Linked DNA regions of Sus scrofa. The protein of the gene in region 1 interacts with the protein of each later gene in a pairwise test. Links are inferred from orthologs where the notes say so. Each region holds a gene or a part of one and is shown in the gene's direction. Other genes may lie near its edges. The genes, in order: CDR2, C8H4orf46, KANSL1, TCHP, CHIC2 and HDAC4.

Region 1 (4,513 bases):
CAGAGGAGGAGGAGCCAGGAGAAGCACGACCAGGAGAAATCGGCCCCCAGCTTCTCGTGTCTGAAAGAGCTGTATGACCTCCGCCAGTAAGAGCCCCCCTTTCCCGTGGCCACTGCAAGCAGGGGAGCATCTTGTGTCCTGACACGTTCTGGTCTCCAGTCCATTAAAAGGACCCTTTTAGGAAGTGCCACTTGGCTAGTAGATCACCACTGCTTTGAACAAAACCACTGAATTTAAACATACAAAGCCTATGGGAGTTCCTGCTGTGGCGCAGAGGAAACGAATCTGACTAGGAACCATGAGGTTTCGGGTTCGATCCCTGGCCTTGCTCCGTGGGTTGAGGATCCAGCGTTGGCGTGAACTATGATGTAAGCCAGCAGCTACAGCTCTGATTTGACCCCTAGCCTGGGAACCTCCATGTGCTGCGGGTGTGGCCCTAAAAAGACGAAAGACAAAAATTAAAAACAAACATACAAATGATAGAGTTCTTGGGTATTAGTAATTCTGTGAAAACTGATTTTTTAAAAACTTGGGAGTATTTAGTTCAGTGCTTTTTTTTTTTTGTCTTTTTGGGGCCACTCCCGTGGCATATGGAGGTTCCCAGGCTAGGGGTCGAATCGGAGCTGTAGCCGCTGGCCTACACCAGAGCCACAGCAACGCGGGATCCCAGCTGCGTCTGCAACCTACACCACAGCTCACGGCAACGCCGGATCCTTAACCCACTGAGCGAGGCCAGGGACCGAACCCGCAACCTCATGGTCCCTAGTCGGATTCATTAACCACTGCGCCACAACAGGATCTCCTTAGTTCAGTGCTTTTAACTTGTTAAATTTTAATTTACAAGAAGGTGCAGTGCTTCTGATAGACTACAGATTTGGAGGTTGTATTTCACATGTCAGTGAAGAAAAAAATGGAAATTGCAGTAAAACAAAAATGCAGGCCCATAGAAGAGGTTCTTTTTTGGCCTGCAGAGTTGTGTTTACAACTTAAGAGTTATGAGATTGAGTCTTTATTTAATAGATATTTCTGGAGCCCCTGTCACAAGGCAGGTATGTGGAGTGGTGAGCAAGACAGACAGTTCAGTCCCGTGGAGAAGCAGAGAAGCAGATAATCACACACATAAAGTACAGTTCCAAGTTGTCTAGGACCCTGAACCAGAGAGAGGCCAGCTCGTGCATTCGGTGGTCCGCAGCCTTATTCATCAGATTACCCTGTGCAGTTTTTCTTTTTTTTTTTAATTTTTAAATTATAGTTGATTTACAGTGTTCTGTCAATTTCTACTATACAGCAGAGTGACTCAGTTATAATAGACATTCTTTTTCTCACATTATCCTCCATCATGTTCCATCACAAGGGACTAGATACAGTTCCTCTGTGCTTTACAGCAGGATCTCATGGCTTATCCACTCCAAATGCAATAGTTTGCTTCTACCAACCCCAAACTCTCAGTCCATCCCACTCCCTCCCTCTCCCCCTTGGCAACCACAAGTCTGTTCTCCATGTCCATGAGTTTGTTTCTTATCGGTAGATAGGTTCATTTGTGCCACATATTAGATTCCAGGTATGTGCTGTCATACAGTATTTGTCTTTTGCTTTCTGACTGACTTCACCTAGTATGAGAATCTCTAGTTCCATCCATGTTGCTGCAAATGGCATGGTTTTGTTCTTTTTTACAGCTGAGTAGTATTCCATTGTGTATATGTACCACACCTTCTTAATCCATTCATCTGTCGATGGACATTTAGGTTGTTTCCATGTCCTGGCTATTGTGAATAGTGCTGCAGTGAACCTGCGGGTGCATATGTCTTTTTGAGTGAAAGCTTTGTCTGGATATATGCCCAGGAGTGGGATTGCTGGGTCATATGCTAGTGTTACATTTAGTTTTCTGAGGAACCTCCATGCTGTTCTCCGTAGTGGTTGTACCAATTTACGTTCCCATTAACAGTGTAGGAGGGTTCCCTTTTCTTCACACCCTCTCCGGCATTTGTTATTTGTAGACTTATTGATTTGATGATAGCCACTCTGACTGATGTGAATGGCACCCACTGTAGTTTTGATTTGCATTTCTCTAATAATTAGTGATGTTTTAGTGAGCTTTTTTCACGTGCCTGTGGGCCATCTGTATATGTTCTTTGGAGAAATGTCTATTCAGGTCTTCTGCCCATTTTTCAATTGGGTTGTTTGGTTTTTTGCTGTTGTATGAGTTGTTTGTATATTTTGGAAGTGAAGCCCTTGTCAGTTGCATCATTTGCAACTATTTTCTCCCATTCTGTAGTTTGTCTTTTTTTTTTTTTTTTTTTTTTTTTTTTTTATGGTTTCCTTTGCTGTGCAAAAGCTTGTAAGTTTGATTAGGTCCCATGAGTTTTTCAAACTGCAAGATCATTTTGACTCCCTCTGGCCTAAATCAGAATCTCTAAGTGGGAATAAAAGGCTGCCCCAGGTGATTCTGACATCTGTTCCTGGTTAAAAATCACTGCAGCAGTGGTTCTCAAACTTAGCTGCATATTATGAATCACATGAAGAGCTTAAGAAAGACCCACGTCTTGGAGTTCCTGTCGTGGCTCAGTGGTTAACGAGTTCGACTAGGAACCATGAGGTTGCAGGTTCTATCCTTGGCCTTGCTCAGTGGGTTAAGGATCTGGCATTGCCATGAGCTGTGGTGTAGGTTGCAGACCCGGCTCGCTCGGATCCTGCGTTGCTGTGGCTGTGGTGTAGGCCGGTGGCTACAGCTCCAGTTACACCCCTAGCCTGGGAAGCTCCATATGCCTCGGGAGCAGCCCAAGAAATGGCAAAAAAAAAAAAAAAAGAGAGAGAGACCCACATCTAGGCAGACCAGCTAGGTCGGAATCTATGGGATGGGAGCCAGGCATCAGTAGTTTTCTCTTGACTGCCCAGGTGATTCTAGGCTGCGGCCAAGGCCGAGCACCACTGGGCCGTGCTAATTTCCTTGACCAGTATCAGTGATCCTGCTATTCTCTGGGAATGGATGTTCTGTAGTGTTTTTTTGTTGTTGTTTTTTGGGCTGCATCCGAGGCGCATGGAAGTTCCTAAGCTAGGGCTCATATTGGAGCTGCAGCTGTTGGCCTGTGCCACAGCAACAGCAACAAGTATCCAAGCTGCTTCTGCAGCCTATACCACAGCTCACGGCAACGCCAGATCCTTAACCCACTGAGCAGGCCAGGACTCAAACCTGCATCCTCACGGATACTAGCTGGATTCGTCACCTGCTGAGTTACAATGGGAACTCCTGTAGTATTTTTTGTTTGTTTGTTTGTCTTGTTTTTTGCCTTTTCTAGGGCCGCTCCTGCGGCATATGGAGATTCCCAGGCTAGGGCTCTAATCGGAGCTGCAGCCACCGGCCTATGCCAGAGCCACAGCAACGCAGGATCCTTAACCCACTGAGCAAGGCCAGGGATCGAACCTGCAACCTCATGGTTCCTAGTCAGGTTCGTTAACCACTGCGCCACGACGGGAATTCCTCCTGTAGTATTTTTAATGTTTAAAAAAATATCGGTCACAAAAGCTATATTTTCTCACGTGTTTATTTGCCAGCCTCACACATTCCTTGTAACCATTGCTCTAGCATGGAGTAGGCAAAAAAAAATCAGTTGCATCACAGCTCCTCAAAAATAGATAGTTGGAAAAAATCATCAGCCTCCCTCTTTGCATTCCTGCGTTAACAGAGTCTTTAAACATCTTCCCCAGGCACTTCGTGTACGATCACGTGTTTGCCGAGCAGATCACTTCCTTACAAAGTCGGCAAAGCCCCGATGAAGAAGAAAACGAGCATTTGAAGAAAACGGTGACAATGCTGCAGGCCCAGCTGAGCCTGGAGCGGCAGAAGCGAGTGACCATGGAGGAGGAGTTCGGGCTGGTGCTGAAGGAGAACCGCGACCTGGAGCGGCAGCTGGGGGCCACGGACACCTACCGAGCCCGGGCGCTGGAGCTGGAGGCCGAGGTGGCCGAGATGCGGCAGATGCTGCAGTCCGAGCATCCTTTCGTGAACGGGGTGGAGAAGCTGGTGCCGGACTCGCTCTTTGCCCCTTTCAGGGAGCCCAGCCAGAGCCTGCTGGAGGAGATGCTGCTGACCCCGCCCGAGGCGCCCAGGAAGCCCCTCAAGCGCAGCAGCAGCGAGACTGTGCTGAGCAGCCTGGCAGGCGGCGACATCGTGAAGGGCCACGAGGAGACCTGCATCCGGAGGGCCAAGGCGGTAAAGCAGAGGGGCGTCTCCCTGCTGCACGAGGTGGACACGCAGTACAGCGCCCTGAAGGTGAAGTACGAGGAGCTGCTGAAGAAGTGCCAGCAGGACGAGGACTCCCTGTCCCACAAGGCCGTGCAGACCTCCAGGGCTCCGGCCAAGGAGCTGGCTGCTGTCGGCGCCCAGCCCGAGCCCGGCACCAGCGGCTGGGAACCGGCCTCTGTCACCCCAGAGCCCATGGCTTCCCCCACCGCCTCGACGCCCCCAGAATACAAAGCGCTTTTTAAGGAGATCTTCAGTTGCATCAAGAAAACT
Region 2 (5,275 bases), on another chromosome or scaffold:
TTACCTCTTCAGAACAGTCCCTCAGAGCTAGCTGAGAGGCCAGCTCCTGTGCCTAAGTCTCCAGTATGTCTTCCAAACAAAACGTAATTCTCAAATTTTAGGTCGTGCTTTTTTTTTCAGTCAACAGTATCTACATAGTAGGTGTAGTAATACATGCATGAGTAATAGAAACTTTAAACAAAATCCTAATTATTTAATATATGGTGGCCAAATTTGACAAAATTCTACTTTCATGAAATTTACACAATATTAATATCCTTAAATTTCCAATATGTACACTTATTTATTCCATAACTAAAAATTAATTAATTTTAATTTTTTTTAGCTTTTTTTTTTTTGCTCCCACAGCATGTGGAGGTTCCCAGGCTAGGGGTCAAATCAGAGCTGTGGCCACCAGCCTACGCCAGAGCTACAGCAGCACAGGATCCAAGCTGCGTCTCCAACCTACACTGCAGCTCACGGCAACGCCAGATCCTTTAACCCACTGAGCAAGACCAGGGATCGAACCTGAAACCTCATGGTTCCTAGTCAGGTTCATTAACCACTGCGCCACGATGGGAACTCCTTTTTTTAGTTTTTTTAGGGCCACATCTGCAGCATATGGAAGTTTCCAGGCTAGAGGTCAAATCAGAGCTGTAGCTGCTGGCCTACACCACAGCCACAGCAACACCAGATCTGAGCCGCGTCTGTGACCTACACCACAGCTCATGCCAACACTTGATCCTTAACCCACTGATCTAGGACAGGGATCAAACCTGTGTCTTCATGAATACTAGTCAGATTCATTACATCTGAGCCACCATGGGAACTCTCCAAAATTAATTTAAATAAAAATTAAAAACCAGTTGTGAGAGAATTCAAGATCCTGTAGTACACTTTTTGAACTTTAAACCTTTTGTTTTTAAATAAACCACCCCCTCCAAAAAAATCCCCCAAACCACCCAACTGCATCCTACTTTTTTTTTTTTTTTTAAAAAAAAAGAGGAGGTAATGAGGTATTTTACCAAGTCATCAGGATGGTTCTAGGGGCAAACAGAACACCATAAGCCCCTAGAGTTAATTTTAGACAACGTAGAAAAATTCCTGGCTCCAGATAGTCTGATGACTCAGGCAGCATACACATGTTAATGATGATGTGCCACATTAGACTTCGAATTCTTTTTTTTTTTTCTTTTTTGTCTATTTTAGGGCTGCACCCCGGCATATGGAGGTTCCCAGGTTAGGGGTCTAATCAGAGCTGAAGCCGCCGGCCTACGCCAGAGCCACAGCAACGCCAGATCCCAGCCGCGTCTGTGACCTACACCACAGCTCACGGCAACGCCGGATCCTTAACCCACTGAGCAAGACCAGGGATCGAACCCACAACCTCATGGTTCCTAGTCGGATTCGTTAACCACTGAGCCACGAAGGGAACTCCTAGACTTCGAATTCTTAAAATGGGGTAGGATGACTGCAAATACACAAGTAAGGTGAGGACCAAGGAAAAAAAATCTGTGCAAATGTTAATTTACTCATTTGCAACAAGGCAACAGACATTACCTGAGCTTGGGATAAGAGTCTGCACCAGGACTTGGAGAGATTCCGCTCAGGAGCCGTGTTGACAAGTTCACTGCATTCATGACCTATGTCCTAGTTGTCAACTCTTCCAATTGAGACAAGCCCAGGGGAGGAACCCAGCGGCGACCCTGCGCCCTTTGCTCTGAACTAGTTCCACCCCCCAGCGGTGGTCCCGCGCGCCCCTCGTAGACCCTCGACTTTGCTCCCCGCGCCCGCAGACCCCTCCTCACCTGGGCTGGCCAGCTTGGCCAGCGGCACCATCATGCTCTCGGCAGCCGGGACCCCGGCGTACAGCGAGGGAGGAGGCCCGGCTGGGGCTCGCCCGGGCACGGGACCACTAGGCCGCGGGGGGCGCCATCCCCGCCGGGACAACTGAAGTCTCAGGCGGAGTCAGCCTCCCTACTCAGCCGGCCACTCTGGCTTCACCGTACTGCCGCCTCTTTCTTGCTGTGCGCCTGCGCCACGCGCGATATGACTGCCCGTAGGACTTCTGGGTCACAGACCAAGACGGAGAGGGTAGGGAACCCTTCCACCCGGGGCAAGCAGAGGACACCAGCGAAGACTACAAATCCCAGGGTGCAACGCGCTTGGCGCCAAGAAGCGGAGGCGGGGCGGTGCGCGGAACTCTAGGAGTTGTAGTCTTCGGCTCAACAGTCCAGGTTGCCCGACTGGGGGTTTGCGCAGGAGTGAAGAGCCGCCCAAGGCGAATTAACTGGTTTCTGATTGGCTGTCCGGAGAAAATGACTGGGCTTCGCGGTCCACCGCCGAGAGACTAGAGGAGGCGGGGTCGCTGGACTTTGGGCGCGAGCGGTTGAAAGACAGTTGGTGTCGGTTCGGCTGTCAAAGTCCGGTCCCGCCGCCCAGCCCGGCTCCATGGAGGACCCTGAGGAGCTGCTGGTTTCTTCGCCTCCCCCGCCGCCTCCCTCCTCTCCCTCTTCAAACTCATCTTCAGCATCTTCCCCAGGCGTCCCGGGGAGTTTGGGATGGCCGGTTCCAAGCAGGAGCAGCGGCCGGACAGTGGACCCCCTGGAGGAGGTGGAGCTGCAGATCGGAGACGTGGGTGTGGCCTGCGGGGCCGGGAGGGGCCGGAGGGACGGGGTCCGCGCCCAGCTAGGGGGGCTGGTGAGGAAGGGTGGGGGTCCGACGCCGCCCAAGGCCCCTTCCCCCATGTGGTGTACCAGTTGAGGCGTTGGGAATTGGGGTGTCCCTCCACCCGCCCCGCCCCGCCCGGTTTTCTTTGTGCCTGGCCATCTGGTTTCCAACACGCGCTGTAACCCGAAACCACACAGATCTCATTCGCCCCCACCTTCGCCTTTGCTGTCCTTGGGTGCTGAGGGTCAGGCTGTGATTTCTTACCCGGGGACTTAAGGACTGCTGTCCTAGTTGGCCACCTGCCCAGAGTCAGCTGACAGATATTATCTGTCCCACCGTCCTGTGCGCTAGATCCAATTAGGACGGGTTAGTCACCACCCCATGGTGCAGATTCCTTTCACTAACGGTTCAAAGACCTCTCCCTCTGAGCACTTGGCATGCCTAGTCTGGATGGTTTCTGTTGAATCTCCAATTTCCAGGCGCCCAGCTACTGGAGCGCATGAGCACACACACACTCTCTGTCTCTGTCTCTCTGTCTCTGTCTCTCGTTCCCCCGCCTCCGCCCACCGCTCCTTCCAAGTGACCCTGTAGGATGGAGTGCTGATGTGTTATCCAGGAACAGTGCTATTTCATGTAGTGGGCGAAGAAAGCATTTGATCAAGGAGTTTTCCACCAAGGGATGATTGTCTACTGCACCTGTTTTGATTTTGTTGATGTTATTTGTAAGCTGAGAGCATCTCTTCTTTGGACTATACATTTTCATAGTCTACAGCGTTCATGGGTAAAAATAGTGGAGCCATGCCCTTGTTACCCATGTATTAAGCGTTATTTATGGAGTCTTTCAGCTCCTTCTGATACTTTGTGTCAAGGGATCCAAGTCTCCTGTTGAGCTAAATCAGACTAGTGATTTGTAAATAAAAAAGTATCGACTGGTCATTTCTCATGCATAATGGATATCTTTCTAGCACATCTTACTTCCTCAAAGCTTACTTCATATTAACGAATTTCTTTGGTTCCCTGAAAGAGCCAGTATTTTAGTTCTAAGATTTTTTTTTTAACTTTTAAAGAAGATAACTTTAAATTTGAGGCATCAGATTTGAGGTTCTGTTATTTTCAGACTGGTTTGTAAAATGAGGTGAAAATTAAAAAAAAAACAACTTATATTGTTTGACTTTTTTTTTTTTTTTAAATTTCAGGCAGCATTTTCCTTAACCAAACTTCTCGAAGCCACATCTGCAGTATCAGCTCAAGTGGAAGAGCTTGCCTTCAAATGTACAGAAAATGCACGTTTCCTTAAAACATGGCGGGACCTCTTGAGAGAAGGCTATGATTCCTTGAAGGCTGACAACTGACTTGCCATGTAATAGTCCATGTGTTCTCACGATATTTGCAGATGTACCATATGGATAGGATAATCCAGCAGTTCTGTGAAATGAAAATGAAATTTTGCTTGGTTTTCTTCATTTTGTGAAAATAGAATGTTATTTTTGATGCTGACTAGTATTTATCTTTAAATACTTAATGTCTGCTAAACTTTCACACAATCTTTTATGAAAGTTAATTCAATCAGTAGATAATATAATGCCACAGTGTTACCAGTCACAAACTAGATAGACCATTTGTTTGATTTGCAAGAAGATACCAAGCATGGCAGAGTTTGAAGTTGAGCCTCATTTTTTTGGAACAAAGGAGATGACTTTAAGGTTTATCACTGTTTGACTCAGCTCTATTTGGCTAATTTCCGTAGAACCAGTTATTGTGTCTTATTTAATTCTGTATTTTCAGCACCTAGAACATTGTTATACAATAATCACTAAATGTTCAGTGACAATACAGTTAAAAGCAGCGTTTTCTCCCTGTTTTTAGCATGAAGATTATAAATTTTTCTTGAAGAAATATTTGAGTCAGAACCTCATTAACTTGGAGAAAAACATTAACATTATTGCTCTCTTTTTTAACAGGGATTTGAACTTTAACTAGTAACATCTTTTTAAAATACAAATTTTTTTGCCCTTCTCTGATGGATTTTCAAAAAAGAAAATGAAACTTGACTTGAAAGAATGCACATTTTTTCCCCTATTTATTTCTAAGGTTAACTGATTTTACAGAAATTTCTTGTATACAATGTTGTTATATGTTTGGTTGCTCTTTTAAAAGTGCCTTATCAGAATTATGGCTGTGTATTATTACTTTTGGAGCTTTACAAGTAATAATCCTAAATTCTTTCTTTTTTTTTTTTTTTGTCTTGCCATTTCTTGGGCCGCTCCCGCGGCATATGGAGGTTCCCAAACTAGGGGTCGAATCGGAGCTGTAGCCACCGGCCTACACCACAGCCACAGCAACACCAGATCCGAGCCGCGTCTGCGACCTACACCACAGCTCACGGCAACGCCGGATCATTAACCCACTGAGCAAGGGCAGGGATCGAACCTTCAACCTCATGGTTCTTAGTCGGATTCGTTAACCACTGCACCACGACGGGAACTCCATAATCCTAAATTCTAAATGTAATAGTTAATTAAAACTAAACAAGTTACTTTTTTAAATGCGTCAAATTTATTTTTATTTTTATTTTATTTTATTTTGCTTTTTAGGGCCACACCCAAGGCATATGGAGGTTCCTAGG
Region 3 (4,814 bases), on another chromosome or scaffold:
GAAATTATTTCTGTAGATAATTCTCTCCCATTATATGAGCACCAGCCAGACCTCAGGCCACAAACTGGCTATGGTCATGTTTTGTTTGACATATACAAGTGTCTTTTAAAATACGGAATTTGTCGTCAGCATCAAAGCAAGGTTTCACATATGAGTCTTTATTTCCAGCTTTTGTTGTCAGATTCAAAGATTGGGCAGCCCTGTATGTGCATTCCCCTATGGGAGCATCAGCTGGACCCCTCAGCTTCCCAGCTCTCATCTCACCCTCGGCCTGCTGCCCCTGTTCGTGGGCATTTGAGTGTGGAGCCTCTTGTAGAGGCCTCCAGGGCTGAGAAGGCCCAGCATAGAGGGGTGTCACTTGCAGGCGGAGGGCTCTCACTCTTACACAAATGTATCCTGCCCCAAACTGCCTGCCACCTCACGGTTGTCCCTTTCTGGTTTTTGCAGCTGGCGGGAGGTCGATCTTCGGTCTCTGAAGGGGAGTCCTGATGAGGAGAACGAGGAGGTAAGGGTGTGGTCCTTCCCTCTGGGAGGAGCACACACTGCAGATGCCTCAGGACCTGTGGCATCAAGTGCAAGCTCACTGTATTCCTGCTGTGACCAGGAAGAGCCTGCTGTGGGGTGGGGCGGCTTCTAGAATTGACCTACCCACACTTCTGGAGGAAAGAGGGGCTCAATGAATGCTCTTTTGCAGATCGAGGACCTTTCTGACGCAGCCTTTGCCGCCCTGCATGCCAAATGTGAGGAGATGGAGAGGGCTCGGTGGCTGTGGACCACGAGTGTGCCACCCCAGCGGCGGGGCAGCAGGTGATGGGGCAGGCACAGGCCCCTAGGACCTGTGGAGGGAGGGTCAACAGGGAGTTTGGGCCCTAGCTGTGTCCATGGAAGGCCACTGCCCTTAGTTGCCCTTCGTATTCGTTCACTGGGGATAGCCAAGAATGCAGAAGTTCCTGGGTGTTTGTTGGAACCAACGAGGGTATACGCAGTCAAGTACTGGACTCTGGTTGAGTGGTTACTGTCCAGTTCTAACAAACCCTAGTGATCTCCTGGGCTCCAGGAAAAGGGCTGTCTGTGGCATTGGAGACCTCACCACAGGTTAGCCTTCCTCTGGACATTGCAGTGAGGTTTTATGATCCTACTTGGAAGAACTGTTCCACTCTGTCTCCCTTTATTGTTAACACCAAGAAGCCCCAAGATTCTCAAGCAGAAAGATTTTAAGGCTCTTGTTCTTGTGTTTTTCTTTGCCTACAGTTTTCAAAGTTGGGGCTAATTCCCCTTCCCCAGTGAGTCTCCTGGGCAGTGTGCCAGGGGTCAGCCCCCAGCACAGTTGAGCCCTGGCTTTCTCACAGGATGATAGCTGTACACAACTATTAGATGTCATGTGGTGTACCTGCCCCCTGCTCAGTGGTGGGAAGAAGTGAGGGTATTTGTGGTTCCTAGGAAAGAACTGTAGTCAGTCTCCCTCAGCTCCCCAGATCCTGGTCAGGGATGCTTTTTCATGCTTCCTCCCCAACCCCCCAAAATAAACATAAGAAACTCATATTACCCAGACACTCAAATTCAGATTTCTTGGTGTACAGGTCTTACAGGTCATCAGACGGTCGAACCACCCCCCAGCTGGGCAGTGCCAATCCCTCCACCCCCCAGCCTGCCTCCCCTGATGTCAGCAGTAGCCACTCTTTGTCGGAGTTCTCTCACGGTCAGTCCCCCAGGAGCCCCATTAGCCCGGAACTGCACTCGGCCCCCCTCACTCCTGTGGCTCGGGACACTCTACGACACCTGGCCAGCGAAGACACCCGATGCTCCACACCGGAGCTGGGGCTGGATGAACAGGTAAGGCACCCGCCTTTCTGTGGGATTGGTGGGGCGCAGGTGGAATTGGGGGACAGCACCTGCTCAAGATGCAGCTTCATTTTATGGGCACCCTCCCCCCACCCCGCGCTCATTTTGAAGGGGACAAGGGGCTGTTGTATATGAAATCCACCCATTGTTAAAGGGTGCCCACTCTGCACATCCTTCCTCGACCAGCCCAGGAACTCTGGAGAGACTGGCCGTGGATCCCAGTCCACATGACTTGGGGCAGGAGGCAGGCGGGGACTGGGTCCTCACCAGAGCGTCTTGTCTGCCCACAGTCTGTCCAGCCATGGGAGCGGCGAACCTTCCCCCTGGCGTACAGTCCCCAGGCAGAGTGTGAGGACCAACTGGATGCACAGGAACGGGCGTCCCGCTGCACTCGGCGCACCTCAGGCAGCAAGACTGGCCGGGAGACAGAGGGGGCGCCCACCTCGCCTCCCGTCGTTCCCCTCAAGAGTCGGCATCTGGCGGCAACAGTCACAGCTCAGCGTCCAGCTCACAGATGAGTGGGATCCGAGCATCTAAACAGACTCACAAACTATTGGCATTAAAGCTTCAGAAATCTCTGCGTTTGATATTCAAACATCATATGCCGAAAATTTTCACAGTTTTTAGTGAATTTAAGGAATTTAGATTCTACTTTTTTTTCCCTTGTTTTGATTTTTGTTTTTGTTTTGGTTTCCATGTTTTATCGTCACACACCTGAGCACTTCCTCCAGTTGGCAAACAGAAGTTCAGGATGAGACCTTGCTGACCGGGTCCTGGCGTCCTCTGCACTGTTGAACCACTGGACTTGGCCGTGTTGGATGATCACCCCTCTCCCTTGCACCTGTGGGCAGGGTGGGACAGCCAGGTAGGCAGAGGGAAAGGAACCGCCAGCTCAGCACGGCCACCTCGGGTGAGGCTGGGAGAGAACAGCGTGTTCTGGGCCCTTCCCCTTCCCCTCTGTGGCTTGGCTCAGCTGTGGCCTCCCGGCGGGGTCCCCTTGGTCGTCGGCGCTGGAGCGCCCCTACCAGAGCCTCTTGGCCCAAACTGCCAACTGTTCTCACCCAGGTCTCAGCTGACAGAATGGCTTCCCCTTGTCACCCAGATCTTGGAGACCTACTGGGTTTCCTCTGCATTTGGTCATCCCTGTTTTGACTCCTTACCTGCAGTAACCTGGCTGCGGCCACTCAGGTTCTCAGTCCTGCCCCTTGGTGCCCTCTCGTCTGCTCCCTCACTCTGCACACCCACCCATACACGCCAGTCCTTCCCCATCTGGTCTCTGGAGGTAGGGTTAGGACTGTTTAACCTCTCTTCCCACACCTCTGCAGATGCTGGGGGTCTGGGACATGAGCAGCCGTCTCCCCTGTACAATTCTGTTTTCTCTGACCGAGTCATTTGGTCGTATTTCCTCCCCATCCAGTTCCCTGTCAGAGTCAATCAGGCCCTTCTTCTTTCGAGCTCCTTTGCCTGTGGAACACTGTCTGGTCCTACTGTGGTTCCCATCACTCCCCACCCCCCACCCCCCCAGGTTAACCTTGTGCCTGTCTCATGAATGATCACATCACCAAAAAGGGGGGCAAGAAGGACTTTTTTTTTTTTTTTTCCATTTTGTAATCGTATAAAAATAGTAGACAAACTGCTTAATGGTCGGGGTTTTTTCACAATTTTCAACATTAGTGATTTTTTTTTTTTTTTGATTCTGTTTGCAAGTTAAAGGTTTGTCATTGTTTCTTTAAAAAACAATAATGCACCATATCCCTATGCATAAAGTGCTTCTTCTATTTATAAGGTTGAAAATTCTGAATAACCCTTTTAGCATTGTAAAAAAAAAACCAAAAAAAAACAAAAAAACAAAAATGGAAAAAAAAAACCCTTGTATTTTGTAAATATTTTCTTTTCCTGCTTTGAGCTGTGTATTGGCAGCGGAACATGTAGCTGTCTTTGTTCTATAGAAATGCTTTTCTTCAGAGAAGCTGATCTTTGTTAATGTCTTGATTCTGTTCGCAAAGCACAGACTAGTGCTTAAAAAAAAGTAAGGAAAAATTGAAAAAAATAATAAAAAAAAAGTTACAGAATGTGGTATACCAGGCCTTTCTTGACGCTGGACATGTAATGGGGGTGGCTGAGGAGCCAGCCCTGCTGAAACAGTTCTCTAGGTCCTCTGACTTGCTCTGAACCTTAGCACCTGTCCATTCTATCTTCTGGGCACCTGCTCAGAGCCTGTCTCCATTCTTTCTTCTGGGCATCTGGCAGGGTCTTCTCGTGGTCACCAGAGGGAGGATGTGGTTTTCGTGGCGGGGGCTGGGGGTTAGGTAAGGGATGCCAGGAGGAAGGGGGGGGTCTTTGTAAATCATCTGTTTTCCTTTTTGTTGGATGAAAGTAATTGATCCATTGCTCTTAATCTCACTTGCTCTAGTGAGGCTAGCACTGTAACATTTTTATCTATTCTATATTGTTCTTTAATGGAGATCTCACTTTCCACCATTGACCTCTTCTGGGGTTGAGGTCAATGAGGATGTATATATTTTGCATGGAGCCTGAGCTGGTTCTCAGCATCTTTCTCCTGCGGAGGCTAAGTGCTTGATTTTCTTTGCACAAGATGAGTAAGTGAGCAGGTCTGGTTCTCTCTTTACTTCCTTTTTTCCTTTTCATGGCAGTGGAAGTGAAGCAGCCAGTGAGGCTGCCCATCCTGGCCATGAAAGCTATGAGTTGTGAGGTAACATTTCTGTTTGGCTGCCCTGTTGCTGCTTCTGAAATTGCAGTTAGGATCTGTTCTACTTTCATTTCTGCCTGCAGTGCCTGAAGGACATGAGGAAGAGCTGAGAAAAGTAACATTTTGAAACTGTTCATAAAAAATCAAAGGACTCAGTGTTACAACCTTGACCTAATTACTAAGGAACAATAATTAATATGGCTTTTTTATTTGTAGCATCACAGGGGCTACCTGGTTTCCCTGCCTTGATCTAGCAGACACT
Region 4 (4,513 bases), on another chromosome or scaffold:
AACCTACTTTACAGGATTTGTGTGATGATTCGTATAAAATTGTCTGGGTTAATATAAAACCTGGTACATGGTATTGCTCAAATATTAGCTAGTCCCTTTAGCACATGCATATGTAAGCTCACTATACATTTTCTTCTTGCAAAAATAAGATTCTATAATGTCTAGTGTTCTGTCACCTGCTCTCTTTCCTTTGGCCAGAGGGCACCTTCCTGGGTCACCCCATTCTGTTGGCTTTAGCCTCTTTCACCCCCCACGTTGAGCTGCGCCTTACCCTTCCCCGTGTGGCTGTGGCACGACTGACTGACTGCTGGTGGCCCCTTCTCGCCCAGCATGCATGCCTACCAGCGGGAGAAGATGAAGGAGGAGGGGAGAAAGCGTCTGGAAGCCAGACGGCAGAGACTCAGACAGCTTCTGCTGGAGGAGCAGGACCTGCTAGTCAGAGAACTAGAGGAACTGAGGCTGAGCATGAACTTGAGGGAAAGGAGAATCCGGGAGCGGCATGGGAATCTGAAGTCGGCCCGAGAAGAGCAAAGGAAACTGGTAACTTTGAGAAACTCTTTAGGAGGCTTCAGAGCAGGAGTCACAGTGAGACCATGTGGGGTCACCTGATAAGAGCTCGTTCCAGAGCCAGCCAAGAGAAGTGCTTGCTCTGAGTTCTTCTTCATGTGTGTTTCCTACGAGACATCTCTATTCTCTTTGGCCCCTTAAACTGTTAGGTCTGAGTCCTTTTTCTTTATGCCAGTTTTGTGGTCCCACAAAGGGCTTGGACTGGTGTATTTTATCCTCCACAGTAGTCGTGTGTTGTGGTAAGCCCAATCTCTGTTTAGTTTGAAACAGATCTTTAGCATCTAGGACCCATCTGCAGCATCAGATTTGGGCCCCCTTTGGCCACCCTGTAAGAGTCACTTGTCAGGGCCCTGCAGTTCCAGGCAGTGTCTGGTTTCCAGCACTGTGGGCACAAGGCACGTGGGAGGTCTGCAGGGCGGTGCAGTGCTGGCGCCAGTAGGGCACTCTTACCTGAGTTGACTTCCACATGGGTTATCCGAAATGTGAATGGATTGGAAAAATGACATCAGGCCTCCCGCTTTGTATTTCCTTGACAGATTGCTGAACAACTTCTGTATGAACACTGGAAAAAGAACAACCCCCAACTTCGAGAGGTGAAAACTGAGGAGCCCCTTCCATTGATTTGCCTAAGTCAATGAAATCATGTTTCCTGTCTTGTTTTTTTTTTTGTTTGTTTGTTTTTGTTTTTTGTCTTTTGTCTTTTTAGGGCCGCACTTGTAGCATATGGAGGTTCCCTGGCTAGGGGCCAGTCGGAGCTGTAGCTGCTGGCCTGTGTCACAGCAATGCAGGATCCCAGCTTCGTTTGCGACCTACACCACAGCTCATGGCAATGCCAGATCCTTAACCCACTGAGCAAGGCCAGGGATCAAACCCAAAACCTCATGGTTCCTAGTCCGGTTCGTTTCCACTGCACCACGACAGGAGCTCCCCACCTTGTTTTTAAACTTGCGTTTTGTGCTGGAGTGAGACAAAACCCTCCAGCCACCTTGAGCTACAAGTGGCTGAGAGGCTGGGACGTCAGACAGGGAGGGTGAACCCCAAGAACTGAGTCTCATGCTGGGTAGGCAGACAGGGCCACCACAGATGGCCTTGTGTGTCCTTCCTCTGGGAGCGTTGGGGAGGGTCTGCATGATTTTAAATGGGTCCAGCTGCATTTTGGAGAACAGCAGCTTTGGCAGCACTGTTGAGGTGGGCCAGAAGGGGTGATATCAATTGAAGGATTGCTGCCACAGCCCAGGTGAGTGATGTGAAGGCCAGAACTGAGGTGGCAGGAGAAAGGGGGACAGAGGCACAGACCTCAGTGCAAGGAGAGGGAGGCGTTTAGGTTTGGGTGACAGCACTCAGCAGAGACTGGGCTAGAGAGAAACAATCCCATGATGAAGATTAGTTTATTTCAGCTTAGTTTGTGTGTATGTTTGGTGGTATTAACTTATAAAGCATAACTACATTTAAAAATTGCCAGTCACAGGTAATAGAATGTTCTGGAGTATTGTATGGTTAGCACTACGCCACAGAGGACTCCTCTCCCCGTGGCTTATAGATTAAAGCAGAACCTCCAAAGTCATGTACTCAAAGTTTATTCAAAACATTCAAGTTAGTTGCAAATGTTTCCATCTATAAGAAATAAATTTAAAACTTTTATAAACAATTTCTCAAAACAAGAGCTTTCAGACAGTGTTGTTTCCTGATTCAAAAGATTCTTTAAACCCAAATCTCTTATTAATAACCCTGAATTTGTTGCATCTCTTGCTTCAGAGCGTGCATGTTTTTACAGCTGCTGCTTTGCAGAGGGAGTGCTGGGGAGCCAGGCCAAGGGTTGAGCCTGCTCCTCACCCAGCTCCTGCTGCCCTGGGGCCTGGCAAGCTTTAGACCAACTGGGGTGGCCTTTGAGATTGAATTTCCATTTCATTGCCTACTGACCCGGTCCTGCTCAGCCCCAAGGGTACTGGGAAAAAAGTTTCTGCTACTTTGTTCCAGTTCTTGAGATGATTTACAAGTGCCTGGCCCTTTGGCTTTCTGATTCACTTGCATTCAACTGTATGTCAGGGTCACCGTGCAATTCCTTATAAAGACACCTGGCCATAACCAGAGCTGTGCTATGCTTGAATATCTCTCTGTCTGATGAACCAGTGGGGACGTTCATATTCTCCACATTCTCATCCTCAGATTGAACTGGACCTTCACAAGAAGCATGTGATAAACTCTTGGGAAATGCAGAAAGAGGAAAAAAAACAGGTATGGTATGTGGTGGGAGACTGTCTCCATGTCTTTGAATTTGTTTCTTGTTTTCAATGTTAATGATTCCAATCCAGGAATAGACTTTTCCTTGTTTACTTAACACATGTTAAAACTGAATATTTGTTGCTCTTACACAAACTAGACTCGTCTGTGGTCACTCCCAGAGGCAGAGTAAGACCAAGTGACCAGGACTGGCTGATGGTAGATGCAACATGCATCCTTGAGGGTTGTTTTTGTTGCTGGTGCCCTATTTTCATGTAGTTTACATCCTAAATTCTCAGACGTGGTTTACAGCAGCACCCCTGGGGATGAAAGTCCACTCTTCCATGGACCCACCGCTTTATCTTGGGGTTCGTTCTGGAAGGTGTTTTGTTGACGTGTGGAAAGGGAGGAACCCTGGCATCCTTGTGCCAGGCACCAAGCCAAAAGCCTCCCAGCTTCATCCCTGAGGACGGCACCACTCCCACGGTTCCCACAGTGAGAACCGAGCTCAGGAAGACACCCTTGCCTGGGCCACACAGCTAAGGGTATAGCCTCCTTGGGTGTAGATGTGCAGAATGAGGAGCAGGCCCTGAGGCCTGCTGATTGGTGGGTGGGGAGCTGGGTCTTTGCTGACTCTGTGCTGTAGACCCTGACCCCGGGTTCCTTTGGCTCTGTGCAGCAAGAAGCCGCTGAAGAGGAAAAGGAAAAACGATATGAAAATGAATACGAAAGGGCCCGACGGGAAGCGCTAGCACGGATGAAGGCTGAAGAGGAAAGGAGGCAGCTGGAGGGTAAACTGCAGGCGGAGGCGCTGCGCCAGCAGATGGAGGAGCTGAAGGTGAAGGAGATGGAGGTGAGGGTGAGCCCGGCTGCCAGAGCCTCCTCGCAGCTGCTTGCTGTTATGAAACAGACATTTAAAAAGCTGTGCTAAGCAGAGATTGTATCAGGGAGATGATTCTAAGAAGTGGAACAGTGCTGGGTCCTCCCTTCAGACATGCATTCCTGTTGCTGGCTCTTCAACACTCCTGGCTTGTGGGCCCAAATTAGTACCTGTCCTCTCAGAGTGGCTGAGAGACCTGCTATCTGTGAGCCTCCTTAGAACTTGGATTTTAAGTGTACAAAGTGAACTTGACCCAGGCTAGCAGCTTTTGGTCTCAAGGCACCAAACCATGAGGATCTTTGGTCCAGGAGGATGTTTTGAGAATACTGGGCAGAGCTGCTCAGAGGGGCTGGATCTTCCCATTCAGGCAAGTATAGCACCCCCCCCCCTTCCCCAGGCCTGAGTGATTCAAGAACCAGACCTTATTCTAGGTGCCAAGCACTGGGATATGGCTAGGAGCACAGCCCACCATCCTGGCCTTCATGACGGGCACTGTGTCAGACAGGGGAGAGAGATGTTAATTTATAGTAAGGCATGGGTGGTGCAGGGTCCTATGGGAGCACAGGAAAGGGGGCTTAGCATCATTGGCAGGGTTGGGAAAGGCCTAGCTGGGCTGCATGGTGCACTGGGCCCAGGGGGCTGAGTCCTGGACGTGGGAGGGTGTCCTGAGCACCAAGAGACCAGGCTGCCCTTGCTGTGTTGTGTCTGCTGAAAATGGAGATGAGAGATGAAAGAAGCTCTGATTCTCATGCACTTAGCTGGGTTTACTGTCTTGTAACCACAGGCCACCAAACTGAAGAAGGAGCAGGAGAATCTGCTGAAGCAGCGCTGGGAGCTGGAGAGGCT
Region 5 (4,513 bases), on another chromosome or scaffold:
GGCCTTGTACATGCTTTCTTAAAAACATTTCCTTCCCTCCCTCCCTTCTCTCTCTCCGTTCCCTCCCTCTCTCCTTCCCTTCCTTTCCCCACAGGTGTGGCATATGGAAGTTCCCAGGCTAGGCAGGGGGTGACCTGGAGCTGCAGCTGCTGGCCCACCCCACAGCCACAGCCAAGCCAGATCCAAGCCTAATCTGTGACCAACACTGCAGGTCATGGCAACGCTGAATCCTTGACCCACTGAGTGAGGCCAGGAATCAAACCTGCATCCTCATGGATGCTAATCAGGTTTGTTTCCACTGAGCCATGAAGGGACTCCAAAAAATTTTGTATAAACCTTCTGCTGTAGGACCTTGTGATCATGAAGCATTACATAAAAGTTGCTCAGTAGTTTGATTCGAATGAATTCTCTTTTTCTCCAAATATTAGTAGACTTGTAAACTTATACTAGGTAACAGTACAATAGGTTAAGTTTAATGTGTTTTATCTTGTTATATTTGCTATTCTTTGAAAATAGTTTAAATCTTTTATCAATTCCAAAGCCACGAATATTTTAACAGTGATTTGGGACAAGAGCTTTTAGGTAACAGGAAGAGAGATAGATGTAGCACGTGTCTACATTTTCTTTCAGATATTGAATGGACTGACAGTAGGTATTGAGTGGTGACCAGATAGGACAGTTGTTGGTAGTACTTTGCCAATCCTTACCTTTTTTTTTTTTTTCTTCCATTTCTTCTCTCCTTGTTTTCTCTACTCTTTTTCAACTTTGCCCTACATTTTTTTCTTCTCCTGCTTTTATTGCTTAGGTGTACCAAGGACACTTGTTCAAATTCACAACCATTGCCTATCTCCATCAGTAACATTTAAAGCTAGGAATAAAGTCATCTTTTAAAATAATATGCTTTGAAGTTAGTTTTTAAGGTATAGGCAGTAGCTCAAATTAAATCAACCGCTTTTTCTTTTTTGGCCACCCTGAGGCAAACCTCCTGCGGCATATAAGGTTCCCAGGCTAGGGGTCTAATTGGAGCTGTAGCTGCCAGCCTACGCCAGAGCCACAGCAACGCAGGATCCTAGCTGTGTCTGTGACCTACACCACAGCTCACGGCAATGCTGGATCCCCAACCCACTGAGCAAGGCCAGGGATCGAACCCACAATCTTATGGTCCCTAGTCGGATTCGTTAACCACTGAGCCATGACGGGAACTCCTGAAAGAATCTTAGTAATTTTGACAAAATTGGGCAGTTGTGTTGTTTTCTATTACATTAATATTTGGCTTACAAAGATAGTTCCGAAGAAGTCATATTTTTCTGCAGTCTCAGCCTCTTATATAAAAGCTTTGGTTCAGCTGCTAAAATTGCTTGTTACATTTCATAAATTGCTAATTAAGTTTATGTCTCAAACTTTGTTATTCTGTATATAAAGTTGCACTCTATTTACTTGACCTTTGATTAAGATAAATAGTCTATCTTTGCAACAATGACATGTAATAATAACATTTTTCTCCTTTTTTAAAAACAGATTTGGACTGAGCAACAAATTTGAATCAGAATTCCCTTCTTCTTTAACTGGAAAAGTGAGTATCTGTTGGTTATTTAGGTATTGTTTTTATGCCTTAGAACTGAAGTCTTTTCCTAACAAATTAGAAAAAATTATGCTAATGAGACATATTTATTCACATTAATATTGCAGTGTTATTTCTTAAAATTCTTCTTTAGGTAGCTCCTGAAGAATTTAAAGCCAGCATCAACAGAGTTAACAGTTGTCTTAAGAAGAACCTTCCTGTTAATGTACGTTGGCTACTTTGTGGCTGCCTTTGTTGCTGCTGCACATTAGGTTGCAGTATGTGGCCAGTTATTTGCCTCAGTAAAAGAGTAAGTTGAATTATATATTTTAATTTAAATTTAGAAGTAGACATGTCAGATCTTGCACTTATCTGGTTTTTATTTTTTTGTTTTGAATGAGTCACACTATTCTGAATACCATAGAAAAATAATTTGATCCAGTAGAGGAATGATTAAGTTATGTCCACATGATGTTATATGAAATAGCTATCTAAAAATTATAGTTATGATTCTTATGATACAACACATTATGTCAGGATGGAATACAGCATGCTCTCTCTACATTATGGTATAATTAGTGATTGAAAATGTTGGGCTCGGGTATACCACTTACCTATGTGATCATAGGCAGGTTTCTTAACCTCTTTCAACTAGTTAACATATCTGTAAAATGACAGTATTTACCTCCCTACTTGAATAGGACTGTTGTAAGGATAAGATCAAATAGTTTGTAAAGCTTTTAGCTAAATAGTTCAAAGTAAGAACCTAATGCATATTGATTAAAACGTTATTACTGATATTTCAGTACCAATGGAAGAAATAAAATCTGATAATGCTTATTTGTAATTGGTGAGATTGTGGAGAATTCTGTTTTCTTATTTAAAGAATTTTTTTTTTTTTGTATTTTACAAGTTTTGCTGAATACATACTAATCCTGTAATCATAAAAATGATCTAAAGAGTAATAGTTTTGACTTTTTATAGTAGGAAATTTCCAAGATCTGGGTAAAGGTATGGCAAATTAGTATAGATTGAATGTGTTATATTTTTGTTAAAAAGCTTTAAAAATTAAATGGTAGTTATATGTATAAAAATGAACTACCATTATGTTGAAATTGAGTGAATAGTTTGTGTGACTACATTTCATTTTATCATCCAGTAATAACAGGAAATATGGAAAAGAAAGCTTATGTTTGTTCTTTGTTATAAAACAGGATGTATATTTCTACTGGAAACAAATTTTAACTAGTGCATTTTATTGATAGGAAGTAGATAATTGCCTCTGTAATATAATTTTGTAATATTTATTGTAATATTTGTAATATTTACTTTTTTATATTCCAAGAATATTTCTTTTTTCCCATAGTTCTCAGCAGATGATCTTCCTACCATAGTTTTTTTAAAATCTGGTTTCTGTTGCATTTGTAGCTCTTTGTAGTTTAGGTCCCTTCACTCGCTTCTACTGTTCAGGCATTTCCATTGTTTAAATGATTGCTGAGTCTCACTTGCTTGGCAGCTTACTATTATTTAACCCAAAGAATCAAAGTTTTATTACTGTAGAAACCTTTGCGATATAGTTATTTTTGTTTCTGAAGGTTTTGAGATCCTGTTTTTTTACTTTTTATTTTTATTTATTTTTATTTATTTATTTTTTGTCTTTTTGGCATTTCTTGGCCTGCTCCCGCGACATATGGAGGTTCCCAGGCTAGGGGTCTAATTGGAGCTGTAGCCACCAGCCTATGCCAGAGCCATAGCAACGCAGGATCCGAGCCGCGTCTGCAACCTACACCACAGGTCACGGCAATGCCGGATCATTAACCCACTGAGCAAGGGCAGGGATCGAACCCGCAACCTCATGGTTCCTAGTTGGATTCGTTAACCACTGCGCCACGACGGGAACTCCGTTTTTTGCTTTTTAAATGAGTAAACAAGATGTTAAAATGTGTGCACAGTGTTGGATGTAGAAAACAAAAATAAACTTCCTGCCCTTCTCCACACTTTCTTGGTAATAAGATCATTTTTCAGATGCTTTCATTAAATTCCTTTTTATTTGAGACATAAAGTATATTGACTTTTTTTAGCTTATTTCAGTCTGTGGTTTCAGAAAGTACATTTCATTCAACTTTGTAATATTACACTAAAGTCTCTCTTTGTGTGTGTGTGTGTGTATATATGATTTAATTTTATATAGACTTTACCATCCAGTGAGCGTAAACAAATGCAGTTACTGCTTAAAAACCTGCCTTTACCTGTCTTGGATGTAAACTATTAAATCATTGGAGAGAGTAACTCTACATGCAGGTATGAAGGGCGTTAGAGGCCCTGAAAAAAGGAGTGCTTTGTAAGATGGGGCAGGATAATTTAGAGCAGGGTTGACCTTTTATTTGTTGTAGACCCTTCGATAGTCTGGGAAAGCCTATGAACCCTTTCTTAGAATAATGTTTTTTATTTGATTTGGAGAGGCTTAGTATATATTAAATTTGTAAAATCAAATACATAGGATTATAAAGGAAATCAATTATATAGTTATCAAAATTCTAACACCCCTCAAATATATGATTTATAAATATTTTTTCTTTTTTTTTTTTAATGGCTGCACCCACGGAAAATGGAAGATCCCAGGCCAGGGACTGAATCTAAGCCACAGTTGTGACCTATGCTGCAGCTGCTGCAACCCTGGAGTCTATAACCCCCTGTCCCGGGCTCAGGGATTGAACCTGAGCTGCTGCAGTCAGATTCCTAACCCACTGTGGTGCAGCGGGAACTCCCTAGATAATTCTTTATCAATGCATGCAGGGGATCGCATGGTAATATGATGTGATAGGAAAAATCTATGATTTCTATGAATGTTAAAGATACAGGTCCTGTTTAATCTACCGGTTAGTTGCATACATTCATAATCTAAGGAAATATACAACATTTCAGTTAGAGGTTAGTGAAATTAAAGATGAA
Region 6 (4,513 bases), on another chromosome or scaffold:
CAGTGGGAGCGAGTGGTAGGGCCGATGGACACGGCCAGCACCTGACCATGAAGCAGAGGGCTGCTTCATTTATTTATTTTATTTTATTTTATTTTTGGTCTTTTTGTCTTTTTAGGGCCGTACCCACGGCATATGGAGGTTCCCAGGCTAGGGGTCGAATTGGAGCTGCAGCCACCCGCCTACACCGCAGCCACAGCACATATGATCCACAGCTAACGGCAACGCGGGATCTTTAACCCACTGAGCGAGGCCAGGGATCGAACCCATGTCCTCGTGGGTGCTAGTCGGCTTTGCTCACCGCTGAGCCATGATGGGGACTCCCATTTCTAGATGTGAATGAGATGCAAGAGGAAGTGATGGCTTTGCAGACTTGGCATGTCCGTGGCTTTGGTTCCTGGGCATCACAGTCCGGAGCCCTCCTGCCCTCCTTGGCACTCTGAGCCGCTTCCTCTGAAGCACAGCTTGCTGCTTGTTTTTAACCCGGAAAGAGGCCATTTTTTAAGGCGCCCTTGAATCATTACTGTGTTACTATGTGAAAAACCTAAAGCCTAAAGCCTTTGCTGCAGCCACCTTCCTGCAGCTAAACTTCCTCCCAAGTGAGGACACGGTCCTTCCTGCGTTGCCGGGGTGGCATGAGGACAGTTTATCAGGTGCAGCGTGTGACACCGTTGAGCCACCCAGCAAGGCAGGGAATGCCTGCGCCCCGCCGGGGGCGGGGGAAGGGTCTGCCTTCCCGGGGATGGGGGGCAGGGGGGGAGCGCTTTCTAGCTGCGCGGTAGACCTTCCGTCATGGCTTACGGGAACCTGTCATCCCTTTCAGCTCACGCATCTGCACATTTTTATCTTGCAAATGAAATTTTTGAGCACCCAGGTGTTTCTCATCCTTAATTAAAAAATCCTTTGGGGGAAGAACTAGGAGAGACTTGGTGACCTGTCCATCACGAAGGTGACTTTCCGCGACCCCCCGCCGACGTCAGGGCACACACACCACCTGCTGTTGCTCGGCTCGTGGTTGTGACTGTGTGCTCTTGGTCCCTACCGAGGGGAGGAGATGGTGTGAATGAGACAGTGTCCTCTTAGCAAAGGACATGCCTTCTAGAAGCAAGACGATGTGAAATGCCACAGTGGTGCAGGTCCTCGGGGCTGCTGCTTAGCCCCACGTGGTAAATAAGATCCTCAAATTCCTCTAGCTTTACTTCCTAAGAGGACACCCTCAGCGTGGAGGGGAGGGGTCTCGGAGCAAAGATTGGGTCTGTTTTAAGGCTTTTGACAAGGAGCGCCGAATCGTCCTGCAGAAGGAAGGCACCCATTTACCGTCCACCCGGCAGCGTGTTTCCAACTCCCTCGATCACGATGCTGTCGTCATTTTCAAAAAACCTTTGCCAACATGATCAATTTTAAAATACATTTTTAGATTTTTTGATAGGTCTTTAGATTACAGGATGGTGCTGAATTTTCTTTCCTGAGTTTTTTCTCCATGTTGGTTCTTCTTTGTCCTTCCTCATGAATTGTTGTTTGATCTGTGTGCTCTTTATATATTGGCCTCTGTCTGTACTATCCATTGCCAGCCTTGTCGTCAGCACTATTTGCCTTTTATGTGAGGGGATTGTTTTTATTCATCATTTTCCTCTCTCGTTCCTACCTCTCGTGTTTTGTTTGGAAGGACATTCCCAGCTCTCAGAACATATTTTTAAACATACTCTCCTGGATTTAGTCTGGTAGCTTTAGTGCGAATGAGCAAGTTAACTAAAAACAAGCAAGAGTGTGACGGATCGTGAATCAGGTTCTAATGCTGTGGACGGCCGCGTCTGTCTCGCTGCTGTCACTTGTCAAGACAGCTTTGTTCAGGGGACCGCAGGCCTGGCCTGCAGGCTGTGTGACGGCCGTGTGCTCTGTCCGCAGACCAGCTTGGCTCACAGGCTCGTGACTCGGGAAGGCTCCGTGGGCCCCCTCCCCCTCTACACGTCCCCGTCTTTGCCCAACATCACGCTGGGGCTTCCCGCCACCGGCCCTTCCACGGTAAGTAGGCACCCACGGGTCTGCGGGGTTGGCGGGGGGGCGGTGCTATCACTGGCCCACCCCTGGCTCCCCCCACCCCCCATCCCATTCTGCCTCCCCAGGGGGCAGTGGGCCAGCAGGAAGCCCAGCGGCTTGCCCACGGGCCTGCGGGGGTGGGGGACGTTGTCGCCCTGACGGCCCCCGTCCCGCTCTGCCTCCCCAGGCGGCGGGCCAGCAGGAAGCCGAGAGGCTCACCCTCCCCGCCCTCCAGCAGCGCATCCACCTCTTCCCCGGCACCCACCTCTCCCCCTACCTGAGCGCGGCTCCCCTGGACCGGGACGCGGGGACGGCCCACAACCCTCTCCTGCAGCACATGGTCCTCCTGGAGCAGCCGGCCGCGCAGACACCCCTGGTCACAGGTGAGTGCCCTCCAGGCCCCGCTGGGGTGGGCAGTTGTGGGCTTCAAGGGGGCTGGTGAGACGGCCCCCAGCACTGCTGTGCACACCCCCTCACGCGAGGCGGTGGCTCCTTAGACCGCGTCCACCTGCGTGGCAGGTGCATGGAGTCGAGCGGGTCGGCCGCCCTGATGCGCCAGCCGCTCCATGCAGCCGAGTCGGCTCTGCTGGGCGGTCCGTCTCTCTCAGTGAAGTCACCTGACATGCGCCCTAAGGGACGGTTGTATTAGAAGGGCCCGCAGCAGGGAAAAGCATTACTCCGGTGATGGAGCCCATGGGCTCCCTGGAGGCGAGGAAGCCTCCATCCCACGGCCAGGCCCCGTCTGTGGTGCTCGGCCTCCCCCGGGTTTTGGGGGTTGACCGAGTCCGAGTAGCCACGGGGCAGCCCTGACCCTGAGCCCTCCTCGGCCGTCTGTGCCTACAGTCCATGTGGTTGCTCTTAGTTTTACGGGGCTTGGCCTTCAACCTCACTCTGTCCCTCCCCCGCCCCCGCCTGTCCTTCCTGGGGTCTCGGGCCACCCCCCTGCCCCCACCCCCACCCTGATCCTGGGTCTTTCTTGCGGGAAGGCCCCTTGCATGCAGTTTCACTCCCACTGCGTCCTCCAGCTCCACTCAGGGGCCCTCCGGGGTCCAGAGCAGCACCATCCAGGGTGGCCGTTCACATTTCAGTTCCAAATTAAGAGCACAGGGAAAATTGGTTCAGGCCCACGTGTGACCTAGAAAACGCTCCCTTGGCTGCCGGCCGTGGGGCGGTAGGCACGTGGAACGTACCTTCCACACAGAAGGCTCTGCTGGGCAGCCTGGCCTGGAGGGAAGCTGCAGCCCTGAGCAGGCAGCCACCTGCCCGGCCTCCCAGTGCCTCCTCTCCACACAGGGTACGAGGCTCCCTTGGGCGGGGGGCCGACACGGGCCCTCTGGAAGCACCCTCTTCTCAGAGCCCTCTCGGCACTGGGTCCGGCTTGCATGCACCCACCTCCCGCCAGGAGCCCCGGCCTTCCTCCTGGTCCTGCTGCCGCAGTGCAGCTTCTCATGCTCCGTCTCGTCTGCACCCTGGCCACCTCCTCCCTCCCCCCCACGCAGCAGTTGGTGCGTGGTGGGTGCACAGATGTCTCTGCGACTGGACCATGTGCCAGGCGGGGTGTCTGAGCAGGGCCAGGGAGGGTCACTCAGCACGGGTTTGCTCTGGCGGGTTCTCTGAGGTTCCCGAGGGGTCGGCCCACAGCCCTGCCTGTTGGTGATGGTCTCTGTGGACAGACGGTGTCAGAGCTAGAACCCAGGTCCTTTCCCAAATGCCTGGCAGCGGGTCCCTGCTGGGGAAGGTGCGGGGTCCTGGGTCCACGCGCCGCCTGCTCAGAGCGGCTTGTGCATCCTCGGTGTCAGAAGCTCTGGGACGCCCTCGACAGACTGGAATCTTCCCCTGAAAGGAGCAGGGGGCCCTGAAATGGTCCCAGGTCGAGTCTCCAAGCAGCGGGCCCAGGCCGGACGCTCAGGGCCGAAAGAAGCTGTGTTTGCTGCTCGCTCTAGTCCTCCCCAGGCTGGACACACGTGGGCCAGGCATGTGGATTGTATCTTCCACATAGAAGGTTCTGCTGGGCAGCCTGGCCTGGAGGGAAGCCACGACCCTGAGCAGGCAGCCACCTGCCCAGTGCATCACCCGTGGCCGGCGAGCAGAGCTGTCAGATCAGCGTCTCCTACTCGCCAGGCACCCCACTCCCCCGACCCACGGAGAGCTTTGCAGTTGGGGCTCATGGAGAAGGTTGGGTGCTGGGCTTGCAGCAGGGTGCAGTCAGGGAAGGCTTCCTGGGGGCGTGCACCTTCCCTGAGACTTTTGTAGGAATCGCAGGTGAACAGGTGGAATAAAGGGCCCAGGAGAGAGGCAGGTGGGGGCGCCTGGCGGATGTGGCTGTGTCACCCAGGCTTCCGGCCACTCAGCAATGTGCTGCGAGTGTGGCCACCTCCTGGGAACCTAGCTGGCCATCCCAGAGCTCCCAAGTAGGCTGACTGACTGGGCCAGATGGGGCTTGCAGCCTGGGATGCTAGCCAGGCACCCAGGTTGTGCT

Evidence for each region.
Region 2: the proteins of CDR2 (region 1) and C8H4orf46 interact in binary tests that used the Homo sapiens proteins (3 or more experiments, as listed by UniProt). The two-hybrid records come from large-scale screens. The link is inferred for Sus scrofa from reciprocal best matches to the Homo sapiens genes CDR2 and C4orf46.
Region 3: the proteins of CDR2 (region 1) and KANSL1 interact in binary tests that used the Homo sapiens proteins (3 or more experiments, as listed by UniProt). The two-hybrid records come from large-scale screens. The link is inferred for Sus scrofa from reciprocal best matches to the Homo sapiens genes CDR2 and KANSL1.
Region 4: the proteins of CDR2 (region 1) and TCHP interact in binary tests that used the Homo sapiens proteins (3 or more experiments, as listed by UniProt). The two-hybrid records come from large-scale screens. The link is inferred for Sus scrofa from reciprocal best matches to the Homo sapiens genes CDR2 and TCHP.
Region 5: the proteins of CDR2 (region 1) and CHIC2 interact in binary tests that used the Homo sapiens proteins (3 or more experiments, as listed by UniProt). The link is inferred for Sus scrofa from reciprocal best matches to the Homo sapiens genes CDR2 and CHIC2.
Region 6: the proteins of CDR2 (region 1) and HDAC4 interact in binary tests that used the Homo sapiens proteins (3 or more experiments, as listed by UniProt). The two-hybrid records come from large-scale screens. The link is inferred for Sus scrofa from reciprocal best matches to the Homo sapiens genes CDR2 and HDAC4.

What each region holds. Positions count from the first base shown.
Region 1 is NC_010445.4:23,827,470-23,831,982, forward strand, and holds part of CDR2 (cerebellar degeneration-related protein 2), read left to right. Parts: coding exon 1-86; intron 87-3,705; coding exon 3,706-4,513.
Region 2 is NC_010450.4:47,605,486-47,610,760, reverse strand, and holds the start of C8H4orf46 (renal cancer differentiation gene 1 protein), read left to right. Parts: upstream 1-2,211; 5' UTR 2,212-2,430; coding exon 2,431-2,613; intron 2,614-3,845; coding exon 3,846-4,001; 3' UTR 4,002-5,275. Other genes in the region: ETFDH (electron transfer flavoprotein-ubiquinone oxidoreductase, mitochondrial), read right to left, coding at 1,788-1,821.
Region 3 is NC_010454.4:17,092,999-17,097,812, forward strand, and holds the end of KANSL1 (KAT8 regulatory NSL complex subunit 1), read left to right. Parts: intron 1-447; coding exon 448-505; intron 506-694; coding exon 695-807; intron 808-1,580; coding exon 1,581-1,833; intron 1,834-2,132; coding exon 2,133-2,360; 3' UTR 2,361-3,914; downstream 3,915-4,814. UniProt on the Homo sapiens protein: Non-catalytic component of the NSL histone acetyltransferase complex, a multiprotein complex that mediates histone H4 acetylation at 'Lys-5'- and 'Lys-8' (H4K5ac and H4K8ac) at transcription start sites and promotes transcription initiation.
Region 4 is NC_010456.5:41,070,465-41,074,977, reverse strand, and holds part of TCHP (trichoplein keratin filament-binding protein), read left to right. Parts: intron 1-329; coding exon 330-540; intron 541-1,103; coding exon 1,104-1,160; intron 1,161-2,733; coding exon 2,734-2,802; intron 2,803-3,466; coding exon 3,467-3,640; intron 3,641-4,451; coding exon 4,452-4,513. UniProt on the Homo sapiens protein: Tumor suppressor which has the ability to inhibit cell growth and be pro-apoptotic during cell stress. Inhibits cell growth in bladder and prostate cancer cells by a down-regulation of HSPB1 by inhibiting its phosphorylation.
Region 5 is NC_010450.4:40,822,255-40,826,767, reverse strand, and holds part of CHIC2 (cysteine-rich hydrophobic domain-containing protein 2), read left to right. Parts: intron 1-1,518; coding exon 1,519-1,573; intron 1,574-1,715; coding exon 1,716-1,871; intron 1,872-4,513.
Region 6 is NC_010457.5:138,432,999-138,437,511, reverse strand, and holds part of HDAC4 (histone deacetylase 4), read left to right. Parts: intron 1-1,902; coding exon 1,903-2,019; intron 2,020-2,221; coding exon 2,222-2,417; intron 2,418-4,513. UniProt on the Homo sapiens protein: Responsible for the deacetylation of lysine residues on the N-terminal part of the core histones (H2A, H2B, H3 and H4).